Caenorhabditis elegans: one gene and its partner. The protein of the gene in region 1 interacts with the protein of each later gene in a pairwise test. Each region holds a gene or a part of one and is shown in the gene's direction. Other genes may lie near its edges.

Region 1 (4,849 bases):
CTACGGTTGGCGTTTTACTTACAAATACCAAATACACATTGCCATTTCCAGACACTTTTTTGATAAAGACGACCATCTTAAGAGTTGAAAGACCTGTTTTTGGTTTCATAGATGATTTTAATTAATTATTTAAAAACACTTTTGGCTTAAAACATTATTTTTTCAAGAGAGACGGAGAAAGATAAATTTCCATGGCAACATTGTCAGCGCACGAAGATTATACAACCAAGCATAGAGATTGACGAAAGATTTGTTTCCTCTATTTTTATTCACAGTTGAACAAAAATTGTGCATGTTGCTGTAGAAATGGACAGATTATGGAACTATTAGATGAAACGCAGACTGTAGAAAAATAAAAATGGCCCGAAAATAAAAATCAGTAAATATGTTTAACTGTATCTGAAACAAAAAATAAATGATATGTTGAAAAATTTGCCATTAATGTTTTATTAAACCAATTTCAGCCGTATTCTATTATGGCACGAAAAACTAATTTCCCGAGTGTTCACAGGATTGCAAGGAAAAGTTCGATGCCGACCAACAAAACATTAATTTTCGTTATAACTCAAATTCGGTAGGATATTCGAAGATTTGAACATTATTTTTCAAACATATCCATTATATCCAATTCTCGAATTTTTTGGGTATGGCATCACAAAGTCATAGTCCGTTTCTGCGTTTTTCACTGTTTGGAATTGTAACTTTAAAAATGTATCATTTTGTGTCTGATTATTTTTTGCAACTCTTAAAAATTCTTACTTACTAGTTTTGCAATGTAATAATGTGTTATACAAATTACAAATGATATCTAAATAATTATATAATTTTAAATGTATAGAAAACTTTTACTTGTCTCAACATGACAATTTTGTTAGTCAAGCTTCAGTTTCCAGTCAAATAAAACATATCACACTAACAGAAACATTTTGGATAAGTTTTTGATTTAAAATTAAATTTTTATCTTTAATTTGTCATTGTCGTTTTCTCGGGAAATATAGTGTTTATCAAAATTAGAATGTGCGTTTAACTAAAATGTAGGATTTCATCATATTTGTAATTGAGCATTTAATAAGATGTTTTCTTGTGTCTTGAAATAAATTCAGATGTATGAAAAAAACTGTATTCGTTCAGATGACTTAACGTCCTTTCAGAGCAAATATTTTCGGGTACTGGCAGACTGTAAACATTAAAAACATCGACATTCTTTTTCTCTTTGTCACTTTAGCAAATATCATCTGCTATAATTTCCACTGCAAGTGCAATGCTTGTTACCTCCCAACTGGAACACTGACAGGTTAAAAAACTATAAAACGCTTGCTTCAAACAGCATGGAATTCAGTTGGAATATAGACCCATTTCTCTCCCATAATTTTAGTTTAATTTTGAACTTATGTTTCCTTTTCTGACATTAAAATATGTTCTCATGTTCTAAGCGTGTCTAAATGGAAGTCCCCCAATAAGTCACAAAAAATTATTATGCTATCATGTAATGTGTCCGGCAAAGAATCATTTATAAATTTCTCTGCGTTTATCAAAATTAAACGTGCTCCAAAAAGTGTGCTGCGTGTCACATACTATCATACCGGTCGTTTCGAAATTGTTCTCTACCCTCACTTTCCCCTTGTCGTCGTGGTTTATCATCTTACATCAAATGGCAGTTATCATCGGCGCCGTGTTTGCCGTTTGTAGCAGAGTTAAGAGCCCGACTGCTTTTTGAAACCAATCTTCGCGTTTTACTTTTTTTCGCAACAATAATAATAATAATAATGATCTAACAACCTTTTCAAATTTAATTCTCAGCTATTTTAGGTTACCTATTGTTCGTGGATTGGAAAAAAGAACCGAAGAAAAAATGATGGAGACTAGGAATGCCAGTGATAGTAAGTATGACATTAACACATTTCCCAATTCCAGTTTTAAAAAGGTTTGATGGACCAAGTCTTTTCTGCTGTCACGCTTCCTGCTGTTGGACAAACAACTACCATCATGGAGCATCATCAAGAATCTCACACTGTTTTTCACCAAGTAAGAAAATTTTTGAACAGTTATTTTGTTGATATTAGTTATTTTATTGAATTTCAGGAGAGTCATCATGTTGAATCTCACCACGAGCATATGGAATTCTCCTCTTCTGGGGTAAGCAAATTTTTATTTACATTGTAAAGATTACTTTAACTTCAATTATAATCTGATTTTTTTTACTTCTGATTTGATAACTTATCAATTTTTTGCTCATCAAAACTGAAAATCAGTTGGTGCTCTTTGATTTCCGTGTTCGAAAAAGAATGACAGTATCGATTGATTTAAGAACAATTTTGTTGGAAAATGAACAAAAAATATTTTTTCAGGTTATCGTAGGAAACGTTGTTGGTCATGATGCCGTTATTCAACGTCGTCCAACTGTGGATACTGAAGATCAGCGGTCGGAGGTATATATTAAAATTAATCTTTCATTATTTTGAAAAAGAGCATTTATTTAGGTGTCCGCAATGTCAAAAGCCACATCAGTTTCTGTTCATTCTAGCGTTTCTCAAAAATCCGCTCAGGTATTTCAGTTCGAACAATGAAAACTATAAACGCCTTTTTCAGCACTACGATCTTCCACCTATCCCACAGTACGACATGCCTCCGATTGTTGTTGGGGAAGCTGTTGTTGGAAAGGCACCATCAGTTGCTTCTTCCAGATCAGGGTATATCTTAAGCTCACTCTACTGAAGAAATAATAAATAATTTTCACACACCTACAGGTCCCACCATTCCGTCGCTTCGCATCATTCGCATCACTCCCAACATTCCCATCATTCCGCTTTGACTCATGACAGCGAGTCGACTATTTCCGAGGGAACTCTTGTGAATGAGCCGATCGTCAGTTTTACAAAGATTAAAAAACAATTTATTCATGATTTTTCAGGTGGTCGGAGCACATGTTGCATCTGAAGCTCCAACCCCACTTGCTGTCGGACAATCATTCGAGCATGACGCAGTGATTGAGCAATTTAAAAATCTTCATGGAAGAGTAAATAAACATTTTCAAACTTAAAACACCTATAATTTCTTTTTCAGGATCAATCAGTGGTTTCCAGCATTGTTCCTGCCTCAGTTCACATTCAAAGTGACAGCGAGGACTCTATTGCTCCATCAAAGTTGACTCACTCGATTGCTGTTGTACGTTTTTAAATGACATATCAGTTAAACTGTGAATTGCTTTCAGGGAGGAGTTGTCGATTCTCACAATGGTGTCAATGTTTTGCACAGAAGTCACGAAGTTGAATTTGTGGACTTTGCTGCTCCAGCTTACTACCAACCACCATCAGTTGTCGTAAGTGTCAAGAGTTTGTGTTTTTTATTAATACAGCTTTGTTCAGGGCGCTTTTGATGCTCATAGCGAGGATTCGTTTGGTTTTGAGAAGGTGGAATATGTGGACACTCATGAGGACCATCACCACAAGTTGGAGGAACAAGTTCCGCAAGTTGTTCATGAACATGTTATTGAACAGCATTACGAGCCTTATCAAATCGTCCATGAGAACCATAATGTGTTATCGGTCGATTTCGGAGAGGATCAACACTCCATAACCCATCATGATCATGACCACCACCACCACCACCATGAATCCCATGTTACCCATACCTTCACCTCCAATGTGAAACAGTCCCGTTCTAACACTGCCTCCACTTACCAAAGTCGCCAAATGTTAGCACATAATGTTGGGCCTAAAATTACTGAGGAGTTGCGTCCGGCTGCGGTGCTGGAGGAGGAAGAGGTTGAGGTTAGGCCCCCAGTGATGGCCTACGTGGCTCCAATCCCAGTTAAGCCACCACGTACCCACGAAGAGAGTCATATCTATAACGCGTACGAAACGGAGATTCATCAGCAAAAGGATATCGTCAAGTCTACTACTGTTGTTCTGGAAGATGTCCGCTCAGGATCTGAAGGTATTCATATCCGAGCGGATAATTCTTCATCTGTTGATATTATAGGTGTTAGCTCCCTTCGCAGAAAGTTTGAGCATGGTGCTCCACCACCATTGTCGCCTGTCTTTGAAATGAAGAAGCATGAGCACCACAAGCATCTTGATCAACACCATCACCACAAACACCAAGACGTCGTCGTTGAGCAAACGCAATTCCAGGTCGGCGATAACTTCATCTCTTCTTCTTCTTCTAAAGCAATAGAGAATCATTATGACGTTCCTTTCGATTCTTATGAGATAGTTGATAAATCTGAAAACACTAAAAAATCCTCATCCTCTTACCACGCCTCCTCCTCCTACCACAAGCAAGCACCACCGCTGCCACTAGTCGATTACCATGTATATGACACGCCAACTGTTGAACATTTCTCCCATTCGCCAGCTTTCTATACTGACGATCAGCGCCACCATTATGTTCCCCAAATCAAGGTGATAACAGAGTATCGACACATCAACCCTCGTCATCATTACGTGGAAAGACAAATTAGAAAAGCTGATGGAAGTGCGATTGCACAAAGTCCGCAAGTTCAAACGATTGACTATTTTAAAGAAATCAACAGGGCTCACCATTTTGTCCCATCTACGCCACCATCGCTGTTTAACAACAAGCGAGAAAGTTTCCACCATCACAGCTTTATTCCAAACAGTTTGGAAGCTGAAAGAAAGAGTCGTAGTGTTGAAAGAGCGCACCATTATCTCCCAGATTCACCAGCGAATGTGAAAGATCAGAGAAAAATAATCAGGGAACATCATTATGTTCCTCTTGAGAAACGCTCTCAATCGTTGGATTTAAAAGTAGTTCATCCTGAACATCACTATGTTCCACTTGTCAGAAAAACAACGGAGGATCATCAACAAAAAGTGAATCACGAACA
Region 2 (7,311 bases), on another chromosome or scaffold:
TCGATTCCAGCTTGTCGGAGGATACTACGGTATTCTCAAGTGGGTGTTCGGATTGGAGGCCGACGGAAAATGGATGTCCTGGTTGGCAAGAGAGACCCTCGAGACTAAGACCAGTGAGTTGAATTGTTTTCTTGATGACTTAGATCCTTAGAATTCGGAAGCTTTGATTTCCAGGAAGCTTAGGCTTAGATTCAAGTGTCCCTAATCTTTGCTTCTAATATCCATTGGGCTAGATCCGTCTGAGATCCATAAAGGCTCTATATCCCGAGCTTTCAGCCTACCTCGACGCCAAGGAGCACTTGATGAACACTCCAATGCTCTCACCAGTCTACTTCATTCTCGGAGGATCCAAGAAGGACGAGGGATGCATCATCGCTAGAAGTCTCGACAAGACCGCACTTCTCACCGAGATGGCCACATCCCCACACGGATGGTACCTGTTGGAGACCAACTACGATCAGGGAACCGAGGTGAGAGATGCTAGAGTTGAAGGTGTAGAGTAGGTTCTGGTAGACGGATCTAGGGGCCCAACTTTTAGGAGAGGTCCTTCTCTAGGCCTAGGTCTAGTATTTTGAACCCAGCTTCTTTTTTTGAGTGGGTCGAACTCCTAGCTAGAAATTTTGATCAAAAATCTGTCAAAACCTATCCGGAATTAACTTATCCAACATTTCCCTCTTCCAGGACCTCTACCTTGACGACCGTGACACTCCGGGATTCCGTTGCATGGACAAGTTGACCCAGAAGAACGTCGGATTCGAGGGAATCTTCAACGTCTTGTCATCCCGCACCAACCTGAATAAGCTCACCACCTACACCGTCCTCATGTCCGTCGAGACTTCTCGCTTCGAGACCATCCTTCAATCCTGCCCGGGAGAATGCTATCCATGGTAGATTGGATTCAACATTCTCATATACGCAATGATTCATTGAAATAAACTTTCATTTTTGTAAATAAACTTTGATGGGTTCTTGTTTGAAAACGAAATTTTCATAAAATTTAAAAATTTTAGAGTTTTTTGGTTTTTTTTAAACAAAAATTAAAAATTTTAATTTTCCCGCTGGAAAAAAATAATGAGTTACGGTAGATTTAAAGGCGCATGCACCGAAACTTATCGAGGTTACCAAAGTTATTGCTTTTTGTGGAATTTTACATTTAAAAAATAATTGTTTGCTAATTTTATGGTTTTTCGTCGTTTTTTCGTTTCTAACCAAGTTTTCCTCCTGAAATTCAAATTTCGTCACAATTTTATTAAAAATGGGATACGGTAGATTTAAAGGCGCATGCCTAAATATTTCTTCTGAGTCTCGTAGCGATTGGTGGTTTTGTGGAATTTTCTACTAGAAAAATGAATTTAAACTGATTTTCCAGTATTTTTACACAAATTTTTTTTATTTCAATTCAATTTTCAAATTATTCAATTCAATTTTCTGGCGGAAATTGCCAGTTTTTGTCATTATTGTCCAATAAAATAAGGTACGGTAGTTTTAAAGGCGCACACCTAAATTTTGCTCCCTTGGTTTCAGTTTTGAATTTTTAAAATAGAATTTTAACCGATTTTCGTCGATTTTCACTTAATTTTTTGCACTTTTCCGACGAAAAAGTCGATTTTTTGCAAAATTCGGTATTTTTCTCCATTTTTTCGCGAAAAAACCGCTATAAACCAAATTCTCCACCTTTTCCATCCAATTAATCCGTCTCCAAGGCCTCCTGCACCGCTGCTGCCGCTCCGTCACTCGCCGAGAGAGTATATAAAGTGAAGAGACTGCAGACTGCAAGAGGGCGTGCCCGCCAGCAGCCGATATCCATCTTTGCACTCATTTTCTTCGATTTTCCTCCGTTTTCCGCTAATTTTCTCCGGATTTTCAGTATTTTCCAGTAGCTGCCACGTGGAATTTGACGATTTTAACGAGAAAATCGCAAAAAATCGTCGAAAATGGCGACTTCCGCCATGTTTATACTGGATTTGAAGGGAAAAGTGAGTTTTTTAGTGTTTTTCACGTCGGAAAATGCCAATTTTCGCATTTTTCAGACGATAATTTCTCGAAATTATCGCGGAGACATCGACATGACGGCAATCGATAAATTCATTCATTTACTCATGGAAAAAGAGGAAGAAGGCTCGGCAGCGCCCGTTTTGACCTATCAGGACACGAATTTCGTGTTTATCAAGCACACAAATATTTATTGTGGGTTTTTTGTGTGAAAAATTGAATTTAAAATCAAAAATTAGATAGAAAAATGGCAAAATTGAAGAAAATCCGTTGAAAATGACGCAATTGGTCAGAAATTTGAATTTTCAAGCCAAAAACCGATAAAAAGTGCAATTTTTTGTGGTTTTTAACATTTTCAAATTGAAAATAACGTTTTAAAACTAAAAAATGAGTTGAAAAACAGTGAAAAGTAACAAAATCCCTTGAAAATAACGGAAAACCCAAAAAAATTCAATTTTTTGATTTTAAAGTCAGAAAAATTCAAAAATTCCTTGATTTTCTGAATTCCCGAGTGCTAAAATTCAAAAAAAGCCGAATATTCGTAAAAATTGACTAAAATCAATAAAACTGCGATTTTCGTAATTTTTCCATTTTGTAGTTTATTTGAAATGTGGTAAAAATCTTAAAAAAGGAGCAAAATTGTTTCAAAAATCAAGCTTTTCTGCCAGAAAGTCGATAAATTGCGAAAAATTCGTCATTTTTCACACTTTTTCGACATATTTTCACGATTTTTGAGCCAGAATTGTAAATTTCCGGAAATTTTCCCGCCGACAGCGGGTGCAAGCGCGCTCCAATGATAAAACACCCATTTTTAACGGATTTTCAGTCATTTTCTCCAGAATTTCCAGTCAAAAATTCAAATTTCCCTCATTTCAGTGGTCTCAGCATGCCGTTCAAACGTCAACGTCACAATGATTTTGTCATTTTTGTACAAATGCGTCGAAGTTTTCTCCGAATATTTCAAAGATGTCGAAGAGGAGTCGGTTCGCGACAATTTTGTCGTTATCTATGAACTTTTGGACGAAATGATGGATTTCGGGTTCCCACAGACGACTGAGAGTCGAATTCTACAAGAGTAAGGAGGAAAAACGAGAAAAATTGAAAAAAATTACTCAAAAATTCGAATTTCCCGCACGAAAAATCGTTTCATTTTCTGCTGCAAATGCGCTCCAATGCGAAAATAGCCAAATATTAGCGTTGGAGCGCATTTGCAGCGCGCGATAGCAGTAATTTTAAATTTTGGGTCAAAATATGTATTTTCGACCCTAAAATTTTGAATTTCCAATCACAAATGCGCTCTAATGCAAAAATCGCAAAAAATTTACATTGGAGCGCATTTGCAGTGGCGGGGAATTCAAAAATTCAAATTTTCCTGTTCAAAATGTGTCTTTTGTCTCGAAAATTTGAATTTCTATTTGCAAACGCGCTCCACTGCGATTATTTGCACTGTAGCGCGGTTGCAGCTGGGAAATTTGAATTTTCATTGAAAATTTCAATTTTCTCGCATTCAACATGCAGCAAACGCGCTTCAATGCAAAAATCGCAAAAGTTCACATTGGAGCGCAATTTTCCTGTTCAAAATGTGTTTTTCGACTCGAAAATTTGAATTTTTGTGCAAAATTATCATCGATTTTTCCTCAATTTTCAATCAAAAAACCCCCCAATTTTTTGCAGATACATCACACAAGAAGGTCAAAAACTAATTTCGGCACCCCGTCCCCCGATGGCAGTGACAAATGCCGTCTCATGGCGCTCTGAAGGCATAAAATACCGAAAAAACGAGGTTTTCCTGGACGTAATCGAAAGTGTGAACATGTTGGCCAGCGCCAACGGTACCGTACTTCAATCGGAAATTGTTGGAAGCGTTAAAATGCGTGTCTATCTTACCGGAATGCCTGAACTTCGGCTGGGTCTTAACGATAAAGTACTTTTTGAGGGCAGTGGACGTGAGTTTTTTCGAATTTTATGCGAAAATTGAGATTTTTCAGGCAATTTTACCCTAAAATCGATAAAATTTTGTTAAAATTCAACAATTTTAAAGTTTTTAGCGTTTTTCAATTGCGCTCCAATGCGACTTTTTTTAAATTTTTGCAATGGAGCGCGTTTGCAACTTGAAATTCAAACTTCCTACCGCTACAATCGCGCCCCATTGATAATTCTCGATTTTCAGGCGGAAAAAGCAAATCTGTGGAACTGGAAGACGTGAAATTTCATCAATGTGTACGCCTGTCGCGTTTTGACACGGATCGAACGATCTCCTTCATACCGCCCGACGGAGCATTTGAGCTTATGAGCTATCGGTACGAAAAAAGTGGAGAAAATCGGATTTTTAACCGAAAAATCGAGTTTTTCGCATGATTTTGACGGAAATTCAGTGATGTGGCCTAGTTTTTTCGAAAAGTTAGGCCACCGACTTCTAATCTGTGGCCGAAGTTTGATTTTGTCTATTTTTTGGCTTAAATACTCGATTTGAAAGCTGAAAATGCCAGAAAATCCTAGGAAATGCCAATTTACCCACGTGGCCTAGGTTTTTTGGAAGTTAGGCCACCATAGCCTAGTTCGTGGCCGAGTTGTAATTTCGAGTTAATTTCTGCTTTTTTATGCCAAAAACGCTCGAAAAACAATTATAAGGTGTAGAAAATACAAATTTGCTTACGTGGCCTAGGGTTTTCCGGAAAAAACTAGGCCACCAAAGGCCGATTCCTGTTTTTGGGTTCTTTTAGGTCAAAAAACTCGTTATTCAGACGAAGAAGAGCTCAGTAACATGAAAAATTCTAGAAAAATACAAATTTGCATACGTGGCCTAGATTTTACAAGAAAGTTAGGCCACCACTGGCCAATTCATGGCCGAACTCTATTTTTTGGCTAAAAACTCGGCTTCTTTACTACAATAGCTCGATTTTTCTGTAAAAACACGTTAAAACTGTAACAAATGGAACACGTAACATGCAAATTTCCACTCGTGGCCTAGTTTCTCGCAAAAGTTAGGCCACCACTGATCAGTTCGTTGCCGAACTCTATTTTTTGCTGAAAACTGTGTGTCTGGATCAAAATTGTTGGTTTTTCTTAAAAAATAAGTCAAATACACCTGCGGCCTAGGTTTTCGGGTAGAAAATTAGGCCACACCTTAATTTTGAGTCTAAAAAGTTGATCACTAGGCCAAATTTAGCTTGAAAACACTGAAAAATAAAAAAAAAGCAAATTTACATGCGTGGCCTAGGTTTTCAGGTAAAAAGTCAGGCCATGCCTCAATTTTGTGTCGAAAAACTCGATTTTTACCTCAAAAAGCTCCAATTTTTCCTGAAAATTCTCGAAAAATACCGTTTTTTTTCAGATTAACAACCGTGGTGAAGCCGCTGATCTGGATCGAGACAAGCATCGAACGTCACAGTCACAGCCGTGTCTCGTTTATAATCAAAGCGAAATCACAATTCAAACGGCGCTCCACTGCTAATAACGTGGAAATCATTATTCCAGTCCCGTCGGACGCTGATTCACCGAAATTCAAGACAAGCATCGGTTCGGTGAAGTATACGCCCGAGCAATCGGCCTTCGTATGGACTATTAAGAATTTTCCCGGCGGAAAAGAGTACCTTTTGACCGCCCATCTATCTCTACCGTCTGTGATGAGTGAAGAGTCTGAAGGACGGCCGCCGATTAAAGTCAAATTTGAAATTCCGTATTTTACGACCAGCGGCATTCAGGTAGCCGAATTTTTCGCTTAAAATTCGACTTTTTAGCTCAAAAATTCAAATTTCCCACCGCCAAAAACTGCCCAATTTTGAGATTTATGTAATTTTTTCGCTCTAAAATGCTGAAAATTTCATTTAAACACATGATATTATTTAAAAATCCGACTTTTCAACTAGATTATTTGAATTTCCCGCCGACCGCATGTTGCAAGCGCGCTCCACGGATAAAACTGCTCAAAATGCAGATTTTTGTGATTTTTTTGCGTCAAGATGATGCAAATTTCTCGAAAAAACCTAACATTTGACTTTTTAACTCAAAAATTCAAATTTCCCGCCTACCACATATTGCAAGTGCGCTCCACGGAGAAAACGGCTCAAAATTGAGAATTATGTGATTTTTTGGTGTTTAAGGGTGATAAAATCTTCTAAAAAAAAGGCTTGAAAATTCAATTTTTCCCATAAATTCCACCAAGTAAACCCTAATTTTCAAATTTTCAGGTCCGTTATCTGAAAATCATCGAGAAAAGTGGATATCAAGCATTGCCGTGGGTCCGCTACATTACTCAAAATGGAGAATACGAGATGCGGATGAAATAATTCCTGAAAAAATTACCTAAATTCATATTTTATTGTATTTTATTCCCAATTTTACTCTTAATTTTTGGAATTTTTTATGAAAAATTGGTGAAAAACGACCGTGGCCGAGTTTTTGGAAAATTTGGAGGTCTAGGCCACCATGCTTCCAGTGGTGGCCTAACTTTTCGAAAATCCTAGGCCACGGCCCCGTTTTCCATCAATTTTTGCCTCTTTTAATGTCAAACATCTCCAATTTTTTCTGTGAAAATTTAATGCTCCGCGAGCTGCTCCCCGGCTCAAAACATGTGTTGTGTGTGCTCTTTCCCCTGATGACCCCGAACTCTATTTTTTTTTGTTCGAAAATTTTTATTTTATTTTTCCCACCGATTTATTTATTGATTTTTATCGCATAATTTAGATTTTTTCCAGAAAAACGAGTTTTTTCCCTTTCCCACCAGCATAATTTTCTCACCACATGGATCCTCATCAATTTTTCCCGTTTTCCTTTTTTCAGTAAATCAATAAATTTTCTGTCATAATTGTTTACAAAATGTTTTCCGGGGGCTAAAAATTCCATTTCAAAAATTGTCTAAATTTCCAGAAAAATCACTGAAAAAAATGCAAAAAATTGCCAGAAAATGCGCCGATTGTTGCCGATTTTTCGTCGAAATTTGCGAATTTCTGCATTTTCGCGTCAATGCACCACATCTGACGACACTTTGCGGACTTTTGCGCCAAATGCGTTGATGGATCGAATTGTGGACGATTTGAAGGTTCGGCAAAGCGGGAATTTGAAAATTTTGAAGATTTAGCATTGGGGCACACTTGCATCACGCTTTTATGGCGCGAAATTTGAATTTTTGCCCTAATTTTGGACTTTTTTTTGCATTGGAGCGCATTTGCATTAGCGGGAAATTCAAATTTCCAACTCTAATTCAATTTTTTCCAGAAAACTGGCACACATTTTGTGATTCCCGGTCGAGATTCCTTTGCCAGACAGGAATCGGCAAAAGTTTTCGAAAAACTTTTGGAAAATGGTAGGTTTTGCTAA

Evidence for each region.
Region 2: the proteins of hpo-34 (region 1) and unc-101 interact in a two-hybrid assay, tested with the Caenorhabditis elegans proteins (3 studies listed by BioGRID).

The regions. Positions count from the first base shown.
Region 1 is NC_003284.9:11,516,021-11,520,869, reverse strand, and holds the start of hpo-34 (ZM domain-containing protein), read left to right. Parts: upstream 1-1,803; 5' UTR 1,804-1,852; coding exon 1,853-1,880; intron 1,881-1,924; coding exon 1,925-2,025; intron 2,026-2,082; coding exon 2,083-2,136; intron 2,137-2,348; coding exon 2,349-2,429; intron 2,430-2,480; coding exon 2,481-2,546; intron 2,547-2,589; coding exon 2,590-2,690; intron 2,691-2,747; coding exon 2,748-2,865; intron 2,866-2,911; coding exon 2,912-3,016; intron 3,017-3,063; coding exon 3,064-3,165; intron 3,166-3,211; coding exon 3,212-3,319; intron 3,320-3,365; coding exon 3,366-4,849.
Region 2 is NC_003279.8:12,506,621-12,513,931, forward strand, and holds unc-101 (AP-1 complex subunit mu-1-I), read left to right. Parts: upstream 1-1,678; 5' UTR 1,679-1,934; coding exon 1,935-1,976; intron 1,977-2,030; coding exon 2,031-2,187; intron 2,188-2,868; coding exon 2,869-3,067; intron 3,068-3,666; coding exon 3,667-3,938; intron 3,939-4,162; coding exon 4,163-4,292; intron 4,293-5,326; coding exon 5,327-5,696; intron 5,697-6,182; coding exon 6,183-6,281; 3' UTR 6,282-6,800; downstream 6,801-7,311. Other genes in the region: asah-1 (Acid ceramidase subunit beta), read left to right, coding at 1-113, 277-470, 682-891; mter-4 (Mitochondrial transcription termination factor family protein), read left to right, coding at 6,899-7,033, 7,210-7,297. UniProt on the Caenorhabditis elegans protein: Component of the adaptor complexes which link clathrin to receptors in coated vesicles. Clathrin-associated protein complexes are believed to interact with the cytoplasmic tails of membrane proteins, leading to their selection and concentration.